Linked DNA regions of Daphnia pulex. The protein of the gene in region 1 interacts with the protein of each later gene in a biochemical or structural test. Links are inferred from orthologs where the notes say so. Each region holds a gene or a part of one and is shown in the gene's direction. Other genes may lie near its edges.

Region 1 (3,686 bases):
TCTTGAGTGCTTGAAAGCCAAACTTTTACTTGCTCGTTACTATGAAGAGACTAGCCATGCAGACATGAACACCGTTATCAAGTACTACAAGGAAGTGACGGAAATAAGCAGAACGTGGGAAGAAGGTTTTTTCCGGTTGGCTGGTTATTACGATGTTCTCTACACAAGTTATGACGGAAACAAAGAACAACATCTTGATATGGCGCGTTACATTATCACCAATTTGGGTCGCTCAATGATATACGGAAGCCAATTCATCTATCAGGCGATGCCACGAATGCTTTCCCTTTGGATGGAATTAGGAACCATGGAAGCTGAGAATCCCAAAGTCTTCAAGATCGGCAACTCCAAGGCTAAGATGACCGACGTAACAAAGGCTATTGACAGTGCACAAGAGAAGATCCCTGCTTACAAATTCTTAACGGCATTTCCCCAGTTGATTTCACGAATTTGTCATCCGCATCTAGAGGTGGCTGCTCTCCTGAAGCGAATAATCGCTAAAACACTTGTAGCTCACACGCAGCAATGTATGTGGATGATGATTTCGGTGTTAAAATCATCGTACAGTATCAGGGCCAAGCGTTGCCGAGAGATCATTGATGTAGTGGCTTCTAGCCAAACCAGTTTAAGGAGCTTCTTCGCAGATGCTACCAATCTGGCTGATAGACTCGTCGAATTGGCCAACAAACCTGTCGAGGACGGCATCATGGTTTTGTCTGTGGAAAAAGCATTCAGATCTCTTCCTAAACTACTCAGTCAACCACAATTCAGTAAAATCATGGTTCCGTTGCAGTGGATGATGACGGTAACATTGCCCACAACCCCTGGAGAAAACCTGGAACACAATCCTTTTCCTAGAGATCCTGTCTACATTGTTGGTGTGGAAGATACTGTCGAGGTGATGCACTCGTTACAAAAGCCGAAGAAAATATCCATCCGTGGATCCGATGGGAAATTATACGTTTTCCTCTGTAAACCACAGGACGATTTACGGAAAGATTTTAGGTAAATTTGTTTGTTCTGTATTTTGTATATATATTTTTTTTTAACAAGTTACCATAATGCAGATTAATGGAATTCAACCAACTAATAAATCGGTACTTGGTACGAGATCCCGATTCACGCAAGCGCAATTTGCATATCCGGACTTACGGAGTAATTCCTTTAAATGAAGATTGTGGTCTCATTGAATGGATTCCAAATCTGATTGGTTTAAGATTTGCTATCAACCGGATTTACAAGGAAAGGGGTTGTCTGATGAGCAATACTGAGTTAAGAAAGAGAACACCTCATGTTCGAGATACAATTGTTCGGAAGAGAGAACTGTTTGAGAAAGGTTTGTCATTTGTTGTTGTCTTAAACTTACTCTGAGTCTTAGAATTCTATTTCGTTCTTTCAGAAATCCTGCCACGGTATCCTCCCGTGTTTAGCGAATGGTTCCTGAGTACGTTTCCAGATCCACAAGATTGGTTTTCTGCCAGGCTGAGTTATGTTCGAACTACGGCAGTCATGTCCATGGTGGGATTTATCGTTGGTTTAGGTGACCGACACGGTGAAAACATTCTTTTTGATGCAGTTTGTGGCGATGCAGTCCACGTGGATTTTAGTTGCTTATTTAACAAAGGTTGTTTTCAAGATTGATTTTCTCTCACCTCGGCATAATATTTTTATTTTATTTTTTTTTTACTTCTTTAACTCAGGTCTTTCATTTGAATGGCCCGAGCAAGTTCCTTTCCGTCTTACTCATAATATGATAGAAGCCATGGGAGCTACTGGAATTGAAGGGTCATTCAGGAAGTGCTGCGAAGTGACGCTACGTGTACTAAGACAAGAGATTGACACTCTCCTTAGTGTGCTGAAGCCGTTTGTTCATGATCCACTTGTAGAATGGTCAAAGAAAACAGTGAACAAAGGTCGTTCTGATCTTCCTGAGATAAAAAACGAACAGGTCTAAAATGCTTTATGTTCTCATCACCTGTTGCATTATATTTAATAGATTTTCTTATTTCAGGCCATGGAACACGTCGAGAACATTAAAATGAGATTACAAGGTTATTTACTACAACCAAATTCCAAGAATAAATTGAAATACCGTTTCTCTGTTGAAGGACAAGTAAATCAGCTGATTGCGGAAGCTACCAGTGTGGACAATTTATGCCAAATGTAAGCTGTGCACAGTTTTTAAAATGTTATTATATGCATACTGTTAAATTATCGCATCATCATTTCTGCGTCTTCTAGGTATATCGGATGGGCAGCCTACATGTGATATGGATTTTATATATTCGAGAGCCAATTATTACTTGCCGTCTATCTCAATTTGCGAAGTAGTTCAAATACGTTCTTATCTTTCATTTTCGAATTTTTTCTTCCTCCTAAAGAATAAAGAAATTAATTGTATTTTTAGTCTGCAATAGTCTGTTTCATTTCCACAACTTTTTTGAAATTTGGCATGTAACTTGGGATTAGGGTTAGGATGGTAGCAATGAGTAAAAATCCAAATTTTTTCGTGTCTGAATTGAAATTTGCTATCCACAACACGCATACTTCGAAATCCGTTTTTTTCACTGTTTTTTGACGCTTTTAGTACTTAATTTTTTTTTCAGCTTCGTCACTTAAACAGCTTGTTAAGGACGTAAAGATTAACATTTGAGCCAAAAATTATCCCATTATGTATTGCCATGCATCAAACTTTTGCTATGCGCTCGATATGCGCTGTAGCTGGTTAATCTAAAAATGGGTTTTCTGGCCGAAATAGATAACATAAGGAACTTTCATCTGCTAAGTAATGTTAAAATAATAGATACAATTAAAGCTCATTTAAAAGATATCTTAAAAATATTGAAATTTATTGTTAATTTTCGTATCGCAATAATATCGCGTTTGCTTAAACGAAAGGGAAAACACAAAAAAACTAAATGTTAGCAAGCGACCTTCAGAAATGGAATTTTAATATATTTTAAACGTGAGCATCTATTGTGTCTATTATTTTAACATTACTGTTAAGTTCCTTATGTTATATACGTATTTCGGCCAAAAAACAAATTTTTTGGTTTACCAGCTACAGCGCATAGCAAAAGTTCGATGCATGGCGGGGATAGTAAATCAATACATAATGGGATAATTTTTGGCTCAAATGTTAATCTTTACGTCCTTAACAAGCTGTTTAAGTGACGAAGCTTAAAAAAAAAATAAAGTACTAAGCGCGTCAAAAAACAGGGAAAAAAACCGGATTTCGACGTTTAACGCGTGGCGGGGATAGCAAGTTTTAATTCAGACACGAAAAATTTTTGATTTTTACTCATTGCCACCATTCCCCTCTGCACTGCCGGACCCCTTGATTACATCACATCATACATTTTGATTTGTCCATCATCTTGAAGCTGTTAATCCCTAAAGGCAAAGAGGGGGAAATTTTGTTATTATCGCCAGCGCTAGGTGGCTTATGGGGTGAAGGCCTGTATGGCGAAAAAACGAATAAATTTGGGGGAATTTTTCAAAAATTTCAATTATTAATAACTCGGCTTCTAAACCGAGTATCGAAAAAACATGAAAATTATTTAAAGAGATGGGCTATCCCATTATTTTAAAACAATTAGATTTTGTTTGGTGCAGCAGTTGACGAGAAAAAAGCTGCACAAAATCCGAAAATAAGTTCAAATTTTGGCTACCCCCCACAGTTTTTT
Region 2 (5,433 bases), on another chromosome or scaffold:
CTTTGGTCTTTCGGTGTTTCTTCTTCGACTCGGACTCGCTGGCCTCTTCCGCATCTTCGAAAAGTTCGAGGTATTTTTCAGGTGTCAGCTGCTGGCCGCTGGCCAAAGAGCTGGGCGTGTAGTCAACTTCGAACGAAACGCTGCTACTGGTCGGTGCTGGACTGTAACTCGGCTCGGTGGATAGAGTCGAGATAGAGCTGGGCGAGTAATCGGCGATTCCAGATTCGAATGTTGAACAACTGGGAGAATACGACGGTTCAACAGAGCTCAATTCTCGAGTGGTTGGCTGGTAGTCGACGTCGCAGTTCAAATTGGACGGAGGGGTGTAGCGATCACTGATGATGTTATCTGAATCCCTACTACTCGGTGTGTAGTTGACGTCGGGAGTGTTTTCTAACGTGGAGGGAGGGGTGTAACCTTCTTCTGTTTTAATTGAGACGACTTTGCTAGGCTTGTAGGTGGCAGTTGAACTAGTGGATGAGTTTCTAGGCACATAATTATCTACTCTAGACGGGATTGAAGTGCTTTCCAAAGTGGATGGTGTATAGGTCTCTTCTGATTTGGCAGCAACCTTACTGCTGGGTTTGTAAGTGGCTACCCGTCCAGAAGATGGTTTTGTGGGTTCATAATTTTCCACTTTCGAAGGGGTTGTTATGCCTTTCTTGAGAACAGCAATGGGCGTAGGAGTATAGGCGGGGGTTCCGACAGGTATGTTGTAGGATTTGTGACTTTTGCTTTTATGGCTAGATTCTCTAGGATTTCCTTCAACTTTCTTGGGACTGACAGGAGGGGCAAGATGTTCCACAACCTTCTCAACCAGCTTCTGCTGGCCAACAAGTTCCATAATTTTGGAGGCATCAAAATTCTCCAAAAGCTGTCCATTTTCCTTTAGGACCCGTTTGACAGCTTCAGACACTATCTGCTCGATTGACGAAGAATTTTCTCCTTCTTGAGATCCTTGAGATGGGCCAGGATCATGAGCTGCAAAGGTATAAAAGCAGTTAGTATTGCTCTTTTGTGTTGCATAATAGACAAAAACATGCATACTTCTGAGGACCACAGTTGGTTTAGGTGCTCGAACAGGCAAGTGTTCGTGTCGGAATTGACAATGTGGCCTCTCACACGACTCATTTTCGAAATAAGGACAGACGATACTTTTGAAGTATCCAACTGACGGAAGCATGCTTCCCCACAGTCAATATTAATTTGCGATAAATCTCCAATCTTCAATTGAAGACGATTAATTAAGAAAAAAAATGACAATAATGAAAAACCAATGCCCTTCTACAAAGGGGAGGCTCTAATGGTCGGTCAAACAATAATATCCGGATTTTTGATTATTTTTTAACGAATTGACATAAAAGATGATTAAATTAAGATAAATAATTTGGGAAAGAGATCTATAATTTTTTATCAAAATTTTAAGCCATTTAAAAAAGTCAAGGTTAAGTCTCGACCAAAATGCCTTGAATTGAAAAATTGACAACGTCTTGTTGTGAAAAAAAAAATTTAGTCTCAGAACAGTGATTCAAGGACATATTACAGACTACGTTCAAATAAAAAATTTCAAACGTGGTGATCGTATATTTCACCAAGTTTCTTATGTTAGATGTGTGACAAGGGTTTTCACAACTGGTTATATCATCTGTTTAAAGATGGACAAAGACACGCAACCCTTGTCGCAGAACACTGACGAAGATACGGAAAATGTAGCGCCGACTGAATCCACCTCGTGGGGATTATTATTTTGGGCCTCTGATCGTGATCTGGACACTGAAAGGCTAAGGTATGATTTTATTTTTTTGTTTCAGTGTTTTGTGAATTAAATTGGGAATTTTTTTATTATTGTCAGGCATGGCAAAGATTTGTACACTGTTGGTCGTCATGTCGCGTGTGATATCGTCATCCATCAAGAAATTACTAAAATCAAAATTGATAATCTTAGTCGAGTACAGTGTGGTTTCAGGAGAATTAGGGATATGACAGCTGATTATCAGACAATCTTAGAAGATTACTCAGCAAATGGAACATTCGTAAATGGTGTTAGAATCGGGAAAGGAAAGAATAAGCTTCTTGCCAATGGTGATGTAATTGCCATGACCTGTTCGAAAGGCAAAGTCTTTACCTACTTGGACACACAGCACAGGAATCCTGGCTTTCCTACCGACATCAACAAGAAATTTGTCATTGTTGAGAATCTTGGAAAAGGGTAATTATTTGTTTAATGCATAAATATTCTTTTGTTTTACGCTGTTTATTTTCTGCAGATCATTTGGGGAGGTATGGTTGTCTGTTCACAAAAAGACAAACAAAAAATATGCCATCAAAAGCGTACGACGTCAACCAAATGGTTTTAACGAGTTGAAACGCAACGAGGCTATACAACAACTGAAGAACGAATCGGAATTGCTCTGTACGCTGGAACATCCTGGCATTGTTAAGGTATCTCATCATCTCATCATGGTTAATTGTAATAGTAATGAAAGCTCTGCATGAAAAATTAGGTTGAAGACAGCATTTGTAAACCCAAATCGATACACCTCGTATTAGAATTGATGAACGGAGGGGACTTGCAGAAACGTATTAAAGATGTGGGTCAGATGGAAGAATCTACAGCAAAATACTATTTTATGCAGTTGGTATTGGCTGTAAAATATCTTCACCAGCAAGGAGTAGTTCACCGGGATCTCAAGCCGGAAAACATCCTGATGTCTAGTCAAAACGAAAACGCCATTCTCAAAGTATTATTTCTCAATCGCTTTCTCGCAGCGTGCGCACATTATTGACGCAACTTTACTTTCCCTTTTTTTAAATTATAGATCTCAGATTTTGGTCTTTCCAAGTTTGTGGATGAAGAGACCGTATGCCAGACCTACTGTGGTACACCGCTGTATCTAGCACCGGAAGTGGCCCGGGATAGGACTTACAAACCATATACGTCAGCGGTCGATGTCTGGAGCCTAGGGGTGATCCTGTTCATTCTGTTATCCGGGTACCACCCATTCATTCATTCACACTCGACTGATGCTAATATTGCCAAAGGTTCATTTCTCCTTTTCTTATCAAGAATTTTGTTTTCCGCCCTTTTTTCTTTTTACTGATCCCGGCATTTTTGACCCAGGTCATTTTCTATTGAAAAAACCAAATTGGAGTTCAGTATCGGCTGAAGGATTGGCATTGGTCAAGCAAATGCTGGAAGTTGACCCCAACAAACGACCTACATTAGAGGATATCCTGGAAGACCCATGGATGAAAGACAGCCAAGTGGTCAGCAGGGTGAATGAAATCGTCTTTGCTGATACAAGTACCGTCGAAAAGCTCCCCGACTCTTTACTCAGTTGCATCCAAGAAAACGAGTCTATTGATGAACCTGTGCCGAAACGACGGCGGGTAACTCCCTAATAAGAAAAATTTCTTTATTATTTTCTCCAGAGAGGCTGTGGTCCGATTATTTTCTCAACAGTTGGCTATTTTTTTTTTCCTTCTTGTTCTCAATACGATCTCTTCATTAAGCAGTTGTATATTTAAAAACGCCTTCCCCTCAGTTTGCCCCCCGTGTTAATTAGTTGGACATGGCCTTTCGAAAGTTTTCATGCATAACAATCCAGTCAGGTTAATTTTTTTTTATTTTTGTGTCTTTTTTGCTGCCGGTAAAGGATAAACGAATAAAAAAGAACTCAGTATTACTAAACCTTGTTTTTAAAAAATGTCTGACCGTAGCAGTTTGAAAGGATTAGACGGAAATCCCTGTAGAACAATTATTGATCGGGTGAACTGTTTTTGGTATTTCTGAGAAATTTTCCGGAACTAGTGACGAAATCCCCTGGTAAATAGTGAAAGCTTAGAAAACGGGTGGGCGAGTTTTAGGTAAGATTGATGGAAGGGAAGGCAACCAGTGGGCGCTATATGTATGAGTATCCTGCTGTCAAAAAGAAAGTTTTTCTTCTCACGATACCCTTAAAAAGCCTTCGAGGCTGATATCCTCCAGCCAGCTCTGCCTCGTTTATCTCTTCTTCTTCTTCATACCTGCAGAAATATGTGAACCCCTCTCCAGGGTCTTCCCCTTTGTCCTGGAGCGCCCATGAAAGAACAGGTTTTTTGTTTCCTTCTTCTTATTGATACTTTTTGTGTTTCTCTTTCAAAGGAAGAAATAAAGAGAGCGTCTGATGGACGACACGATCCATTCGACCTCCAACAGTCTTTTCAAGCACACCACTCCCGGTGACGGAGTTTTTAAAAAATCTATTCGTGACAATTTCAATTCACGCCGGTAAGTGATAATTCAATTTTGATTGCAACTTTTAAAATAATTTTTGGCGAATCGTTTTTCTGTTTAAAAAGCTATTCAAACCAATGATTCACATCCTTTCATTATCTCATTTAATAATTTATAAGACAATCATATGTCTACTCCCGAAAATGAGTTAAGGATTTGATTTGTTCGGTTTGGTTTGCCGTGCACATCGCGTGTTATTCGGTCGCGGGTTGATTCACATAGAAATCTCTCTCGCGTGCTGGTGACTCAGTGTGCCCGGAAGTGTCGTGCCGGAGCTTAAAAATTTTCCGATGGGGAACGAAATTCCACCCACGACGTGAACTGTGGACCCTCTCGCTGTGTTGTTGTTGTTTCCTATTTTGGCTGACTCATTGCACCTTTGTTTTGTCGTATAAAGATACGAACGCAAGTTTCTCGCCTATAGAAGCCGGCAGTCGATGTTTCCTACCAATCATTCCACATCCGACATCAAGACCATGACGATCGTGAGCGGGAAACCGGTGAAGCCAACAGCTACAGAATTGACGACGACAACGACGACAAATCGAAAACCCAAATATCTGGTCGCCGTTTTCAGTGTGGTAAGTGCTCATTATTAATAACATGACTATTACGCAGTTATTTGATTGATTCTTGTTATACACACAGTTAGTGGTTTGCATCGTGGCCGTGTTGGTAGTGACCGTGGCGTCTCAAGCGCGGAACAGCACGAGACAGCAGCAGATGGATGAGGATGCTTACAACAACAATGTAGTTTTATCAGCGACCGAGCTGCGCCATCCACGCTACATCGGACGACCTGTCACGGCTCCCGCTGACAACAGTACAGCAGAGTCCATCATTATGAAGAATGTGAAGGCGTTGGTGATGCGGGTCGTCGTCGGGCCAGCAGAGAAGCTTGGCAACAACAGCAGCGACGGAACATCAGATGCCTCAAGACAAATACTTTATTCAGAGATTGGCAGCGCTGATAAAGAACCGGATTCGCGGGGCGCATCCGGCGTGATTTCAAGGAACAATTGATCTGCAACGAAAGAAGAAAAAAAAAGTGCACAATCAAAACGAAACGTGTAAAGCGTATATAAATACTCGTTTCGTGCTGGCTTCACAGTCGTGAGAATTCCCATCTCCAACACACACACACAAGTCCAACCTAA
Region 3 (5,541 bases), on another chromosome or scaffold:
GTCCGCTGTAGACAATTGTAGATTAAAAAGGAAACGTACGGGGTGAACATACATCGAATTCGATCATGCAAAAACCCCCACATAATCAAAATTTCTATTTGCTGGTTTCCGGATCGGCAGCCTTCGCCTCGGAGTCTTGAGATTTAATTTCCAAATTTTTAAATTGCTTGGCCAACTTGTCGCACTCCTTTTTGTGGATAGACCAGTGCAACTTTTGACAATCGCGGTTGCAATATTGCACAGATTTGCATATGGAACACTTGCTGGCTACCTTCTCTTGGCCGCAAGTGGCACAGGCGTCGTCATCTTGAAATCCACGCTGACCGTTGATGCAGGAAGTGAGAAGATTGAGAGCTAGTGGAGTCTCCTCTTTTGTCTTGGACAGATTGACCAGCAACTGGCGGAAGATGGTCGTCTCCTTGAAAGGGAAAGTGCGGATCGACTCGCGGATGAAGTTGTCCATAAACTCGGGAAAACCATCGGATTGACGTTGCTTCAAAAATGCTTTAACATATTGATTTAATAACTCCAAAACGGTTTTGTCGGGGTGCTGCTGCTGCTCTTTGGCCATTCTTTCGACTAGGAAACGCAAATAGTGGTATTTAAGTGCGAGGATCTCGTTGACTTCTTGGCTGCGCTTCATCTGATTTTCGCTAAGTATCTCCAAGACGTTTTTCACTTTTGTGAGGTTATCGTAAAGCAAAGGAAGTTTTTGAATAGTCAACAAAAGGTGAACTGGATGCAGATTGACCTGATAAATCAAACAAAACAAAAAGTTCAAGTGCTTTTCCGTGGCAGAATAAGAAATGAAGTGATGTGTCTATTCAAGTGCACAACCTGCATCACAAATTTGTGCAAAGCTGGTGCAGCAGCTGGTGGCAATTTTGGCTCAGTTTGATCGCTAGGAGCTACAGTGTACTGCTCTATTTCTGAGCGTGGAATGAAATTGTTGATGATGGAAACAACTGTGTGATTCCCTGGTTTGCCAAAATAATTCATTTTAGTTTTGGATGATTTGTACAAACATTATGATTGACTAGCCTACCTACAAATGCAGCCATTTGAGCTGCAGTTCTGCCTACTGAGTTAACCACATCAGGTTTACAACCACACTGAAGTAATTGTTGACAAATATCCAAATTTCCAGACAGAGCTGCAAAATGAAGGGAAGTATACTTGTGTTCATGATGACCTCCATTGGCATCAGCTCCCTTCGAGAAAAAAAGTCAACTTTTCAATCAAATTAACAACATTGATAATATAGTTAGACTTACCAGGTCAAGGAGCAACTGGCAAATATCTTTTTTCCCTTTAAAAGCGGCATGTTGCAGTAATGTCATTCCATGCTCATCCTCATCGTCAATTTCAACGTCCCGGGATTTTATAAGTTCTTGCAAACCACTAGTATCATTGTTGTTAATCTTGTCAATAGCTTTAATAAAGTTTTCCGAAATCATTTTTCGAGATTCTTTGGCAATTAACTCGTTTTTGAAGGAAATCAAATAATTCAGTCACAAATTTTCATATAACGATATAGTTTCCGTTGTCGTCTGCAACTGTTGCTATAACAACCGGACATTTCGAAAAACAAAAAATCCAACAACGCCAAAAATGCGAATAAAACGAAAACTTATTTTTGCTTCGTATGAACCTTTATTTCAGAAAAAAAACTTTTTCATTATTTTTCTTCTTTATATTTTTAGTGGTCTTCATTGAGTTAAAAAGTTTCTTAAACATTCAACGCTGCACGTTCAGCCTTGGTTTCGTTTGTACCACTGTTGTTTTCCCGCCATCGCACTTCGTCGTCTTGTCCGTAAAAACTGCTTAAAAAAATTCAAGCACGTTGACTGAACGAAGTAATCCCCGTTAAAAAAGGTTCCGTAAAATGAACAGAAGAAATCACCCAGCACTAACCAGCGGCGCAATTCCGGTAATATCAATCATAATTTCGAATTTTTGAATAAAACTATAAATATCTTTATTTCGACATAGTCCATCATTGGGAATGGCCTGCACAATGAAACTCCAATTCTACAAGTTTTGGTAAGCAACGAGCAAGATTTTTTCTTCATTTGCAGCATTTTTACATTTTCTTCTCTTACAATAGGGTTACAAAAATCTTCAGGGAGACAATAATGACCGTTACAGAATTCTCATCTCTGATGGAAAGTATTCCTATGCATATGGAATGTTGGCAACACAACTAAATCATCTGATTGTGGATGGTCAGCTTGAGAACTTTACCATCATTAGAGTAAAAAAGTTTGTTGTTAACAAAGTTGCTACTAAGGCAACTGCAGGCAAGGACCAAAAGAAAATTATCATTCTTTTGGATGTTGAGCCAATTGTGCCTGGAAGTGAAGTATGTTCACTTTACTTAGTTTCGAAATACAAATAAGGATATCTCTTCATTTTGAACATTTTTTGTTTAGGTTGGAGAAAAAATAGGAAACCCTCAGACTCTTAATGATGTTGGAGAGGTTACTGAAGAGGCAGCAGCAAAACCTGCACCTTTAGGAAATGTGAACAATTACAATATGGGATCGAAGTCTGCACCACCTAACAAAACTGGTGGATATGGACAGCCAACAGAGAAGTCTGACATTATTACCCATCCGATTGTAAGCCTTACACCCTACCAAAACAAGTATGTTTGTTGAGAAATTTCAGTACAAGAAAAATTGAATCATTAACTTTGCTTGTTTGTAGGTGGACTGTAAAAGTGAGAATTATAAACAAGTCCGATATCCGTACGTGGAGCAATTCTCGAGGTGAAGGAAAGCTTTTCTCGATGGACATGGTGGATGAGACTGGTGAAATCCGTGCCACTGCATTCAATGCCGAGTGTGACAAGTTTTACCACATGATTGAGGTACATTTAATTCAAAAACAGTGTTTGAAGTTATTTATTTACATTGTTATTTTTCGTTGTAGATCGGCAAGATCTTTTACATTTCACAAGCACAACTGAAGGCAGCAAACAAACAGTACAGCAGTATGAGGAACGATTATGAAATGTCGTTCAACCAAAATACTACAGTATGAATGTTTTTCAATCGTCAATCGTACCAGCCTCAATTTTTTTTTCTTTTACTTATTTTTTAGGTAATTCCTTGCCACGATGATACATCAGATATCCCATCAATCTCCTTCAACTTTGTTCCCATTGATCAGCTACCTAGCCTGGACAAGGACAGTGTTATTGGTAAGTTGTCTTTTAGGTGCATTAACATTACAATTCTTCTATTTGAATGGTGCCTACGATATGACCGATTGACCGTGCTTTCAGATGTCATTGGTGTGGTTAAGTCAGCAAATGACGTCCGCGTTATCGTTTCCAAAACGACAAATAAAGAATTGAGGATGCGAGAAGTTCAGATGGTGGACAGTACCAACACAGAGGTATGACTGGATTCTTCGTTTAATTGTCGAGCCCAGTTAATTAATCATTCTTGTCTTCAAACATCAGGTTAATTTGACTTTATGGGGAAAAATGGGCGAGGAATTTGACGCTAGCTCCCAGCCTGTTGTAGCATTAAAAGGAGTGAAACTTTCTGATTTTGGAGGTCGTTCTCTAGGAACAGTCTCGTCTACTGTCGTGCAGGTAAAATCAAATGTAAGACTTTCTATTTCTCTACTATTCTACAGCGCATATTTTTAATAGATCAATCCTGACATGAATGAAGCTCACAAACTAAGAGGGTGGTACGATAACGGTGGCTCATCATCGGCCGCTTCTAGCATTTCGGCGAGTCGTGGCGCTGGCACTGGTGGTAGTGGTGGGTCGTATAAGACTTTCGCTGAAGCAAAATTCGAAAACCTGGGAAAAGATAAACCTGATTTCTACAGTGTTAAGGCTATGGTTGCTATGATCAACAAAGAAAGAGCGTTGTACATGGCTTGTCCCAGTGATGAATGCAACAAAAAGGTAAACATAAATATATAATAAAACAACTCATTTTTGACAATATTTGCGTTTCCCGCAGGTCATCGATCAAAACAATGGCCTCTATCGATGTGAGAAATGCCAGCGCGAATTCCAGGAATTCAAATGGCGCATGATGCTTTCGGTATGACAAAGATATTTTATGAAATCTATTTCTCTCAAAACAGCACTCGAAATTTGTTATAGGTCAATATCGCGGATGCCACGGACCAGCAATGGGTAACCTGCTTCCAAGAAACCGCTGAAACTCTTCTTGGTAATTTTGTTTTCGAACTAATGTTACGTTTAGCATATAATATTTATTTATTTGATTATAAATTTTAGGGAAATCCGCAGACGAGGTCGGTAGATTGAAGGATTCGGATAATAACGAATTTCAGAAAATTTTCGAAGAAGCTACTTTTAAGTGGTATGTCTTCCGCCTGAGAGTGAAAATGGAGACGTACAATGTAAGTCTATGAGCATTATGAATTTCGATCTTGTTATCTGTTGACGCTTTTACCTTTTCTTTAGGATGAAAGCCGCCTCAAAACAAATGTCTATGAAGTGAAGGAAATCAACTATAAAGAGCACAACGAGCGATTGATTCGAGAAATGAAAGAAATGGCTGCATCAGAATGAATGGATTTTCCCTTGCTCCTTATCTATTAAACTTATAAAAAACCTTCATTTTCGGATTATACAGGAACAATTCTTTATGAATTCCTGTTCTTGTGAATCAAATCGAGATCCCGGAAAAACCGTGTGTGTAACATGATAATAAATGATTTGCAAAATAAACATGGATATTACAAAAAATAATTTTTCAGACAACTGCAAATGTATTGTTTTTCGCAGCTCATGTGCAATGAAATATTTCAACCATCAAGAGAGGCAAAGATAGAAATGAAAATAAATGAAGATCACAGTGCAGCTCTCACTGCTCTACAATGAAGTGAAGAGGGAAAGAGGGGGGACCAGTTCAAAATTTTAACTCTGCCTCTTCTCAAGTGTTTATGATGAAAACAGAAAACATTTAATCACTTGGTCTCTTCTCACTGTTTTTTTTTGTAAACTCTTCTGCATTCTTCATGAATTTCTTTTTGTCTTTGGAATACTCTTCAGCAAGATCAGCCCTAAGTGGATGTTCAGGCTCTGGATCATTAACCAAGGCAACCAGCGCTTGTATCACTTGATCAGTTTTGGTGGCAGGCTTCCAGTTTTCAGCACTTATTATGGGCAAACAGACCTGAAAGAAATAAACACACAATAATAAGTATGGCAAAAATTCCAAAAGGCAAATGTTTTTAAGACCTAACAGAAATTGCCAGACAAATAAGATATTTACAAGGTTAACATTGAAATTTTTACCTGTCCCTTTTCATCAATATTTGGATGATAGATTTTTGTCTTGAACGCAATTTTTGGTGGTTTGAATGGATACTCAGCAGGGAAATTTATTTCAATCCGAAAAGCTCCTTTATTGTAGGGAGCATTTTCCTATGAAAAATATATGATGGCTTGTAACCAAGGTAATTCAATCAATATTCATCTAAAAAATTCAGACTCACAGGAACAATAAGTCCATGCCAAGTCAAAATGTTTTGTTCATCAAC

What was found. The genes of interacting proteins can lie anywhere in the genome.
Region 2: of the proteins of serine/threonine-protein kinase ATR-like (region 1) and ovarian-specific serine/threonine-protein kinase Lok-like, one has a biochemical effect on the other in vitro, tested with the Homo sapiens proteins (2 studies listed by BioGRID). The link is inferred for Daphnia pulex from reciprocal best matches to the Homo sapiens genes ATR and CHEK2.
Region 3: the proteins of serine/threonine-protein kinase ATR-like (region 1) and replication protein A 70 kDa DNA-binding subunit-like form a complex in vitro, tested with the Homo sapiens proteins (2 studies listed by BioGRID, with this or other methods). The link is inferred for Daphnia pulex from reciprocal best matches to the Homo sapiens genes ATR and RPA1.

Annotation. Positions count from the first base shown.
Region 1 is NC_060021.1:4,777,615-4,781,300, reverse strand, and holds the end of serine/threonine-protein kinase ATR-like, read left to right. Parts: coding exon 1-1,005; intron 1,006-1,067; coding exon 1,068-1,336; intron 1,337-1,399; coding exon 1,400-1,624; intron 1,625-1,700; coding exon 1,701-1,948; intron 1,949-2,011; coding exon 2,012-2,163; intron 2,164-2,241; coding exon 2,242-2,269; 3' UTR 2,270-2,400; downstream 2,401-3,686. UniProt on the Homo sapiens protein: Serine/threonine protein kinase which activates checkpoint signaling upon genotoxic stresses such as ionizing radiation (IR), ultraviolet light (UV), or DNA replication stalling, thereby acting as a DNA damage sensor.
Region 2 is NC_060027.1:1,226,697-1,232,129, reverse strand, and holds the start of ovarian-specific serine/threonine-protein kinase Lok-like, read left to right. Parts: upstream 1-1,653; 5' UTR 1,654-1,655; coding exon 1,656-1,786; intron 1,787-1,852; coding exon 1,853-2,209; intron 2,210-2,267; coding exon 2,268-2,442; intron 2,443-2,504; coding exon 2,505-2,741; intron 2,742-2,819; coding exon 2,820-3,042; intron 3,043-3,121; coding exon 3,122-3,402; 3' UTR 3,403-4,270; intron 4,271-4,673; exon of another isoform or gene 4,674-4,700; 3' UTR 4,701-4,857; intron 4,858-4,924; 3' UTR 4,925-5,433. Other genes in the region: RNA exonuclease 1 homolog, read right to left, coding at 1-981, 1,048-1,183. UniProt on the Homo sapiens protein: Serine/threonine-protein kinase which is required for checkpoint-mediated cell cycle arrest, activation of DNA repair and apoptosis in response to the presence of DNA double-strand breaks.
Region 3 is NC_060017.1:3,018,626-3,024,166, reverse strand, and holds replication protein A 70 kDa DNA-binding subunit-like, read left to right. Parts: upstream 1-1,761; 5' UTR 1,762-1,885; coding exon 1,886-1,930; intron 1,931-1,992; coding exon 1,993-2,043; intron 2,044-2,107; coding exon 2,108-2,362; intron 2,363-2,432; coding exon 2,433-2,647; intron 2,648-2,709; coding exon 2,710-2,872; intron 2,873-2,934; coding exon 2,935-3,039; intron 3,040-3,105; coding exon 3,106-3,205; intron 3,206-3,289; coding exon 3,290-3,402; intron 3,403-3,469; coding exon 3,470-3,604; intron 3,605-3,664; coding exon 3,665-3,928; intron 3,929-3,986; coding exon 3,987-4,070; intron 4,071-4,132; coding exon 4,133-4,202; intron 4,203-4,270; coding exon 4,271-4,395; intron 4,396-4,459; coding exon 4,460-4,567; 3' UTR 4,568-4,747; downstream 4,748-5,541. Other genes in the region: ankyrin repeat and MYND domain-containing protein 2-like, read right to left, coding at 95-751, 838-977, 1,046-1,211, 1,275-1,457; ubiquitin-conjugating enzyme E2 L3, read right to left, coding at 4,962-5,174, 5,297-5,425, 5,497-5,541. UniProt on the Homo sapiens protein: As part of the heterotrimeric replication protein A complex (RPA/RP-A), binds and stabilizes single-stranded DNA intermediates that form during DNA replication or upon DNA stress.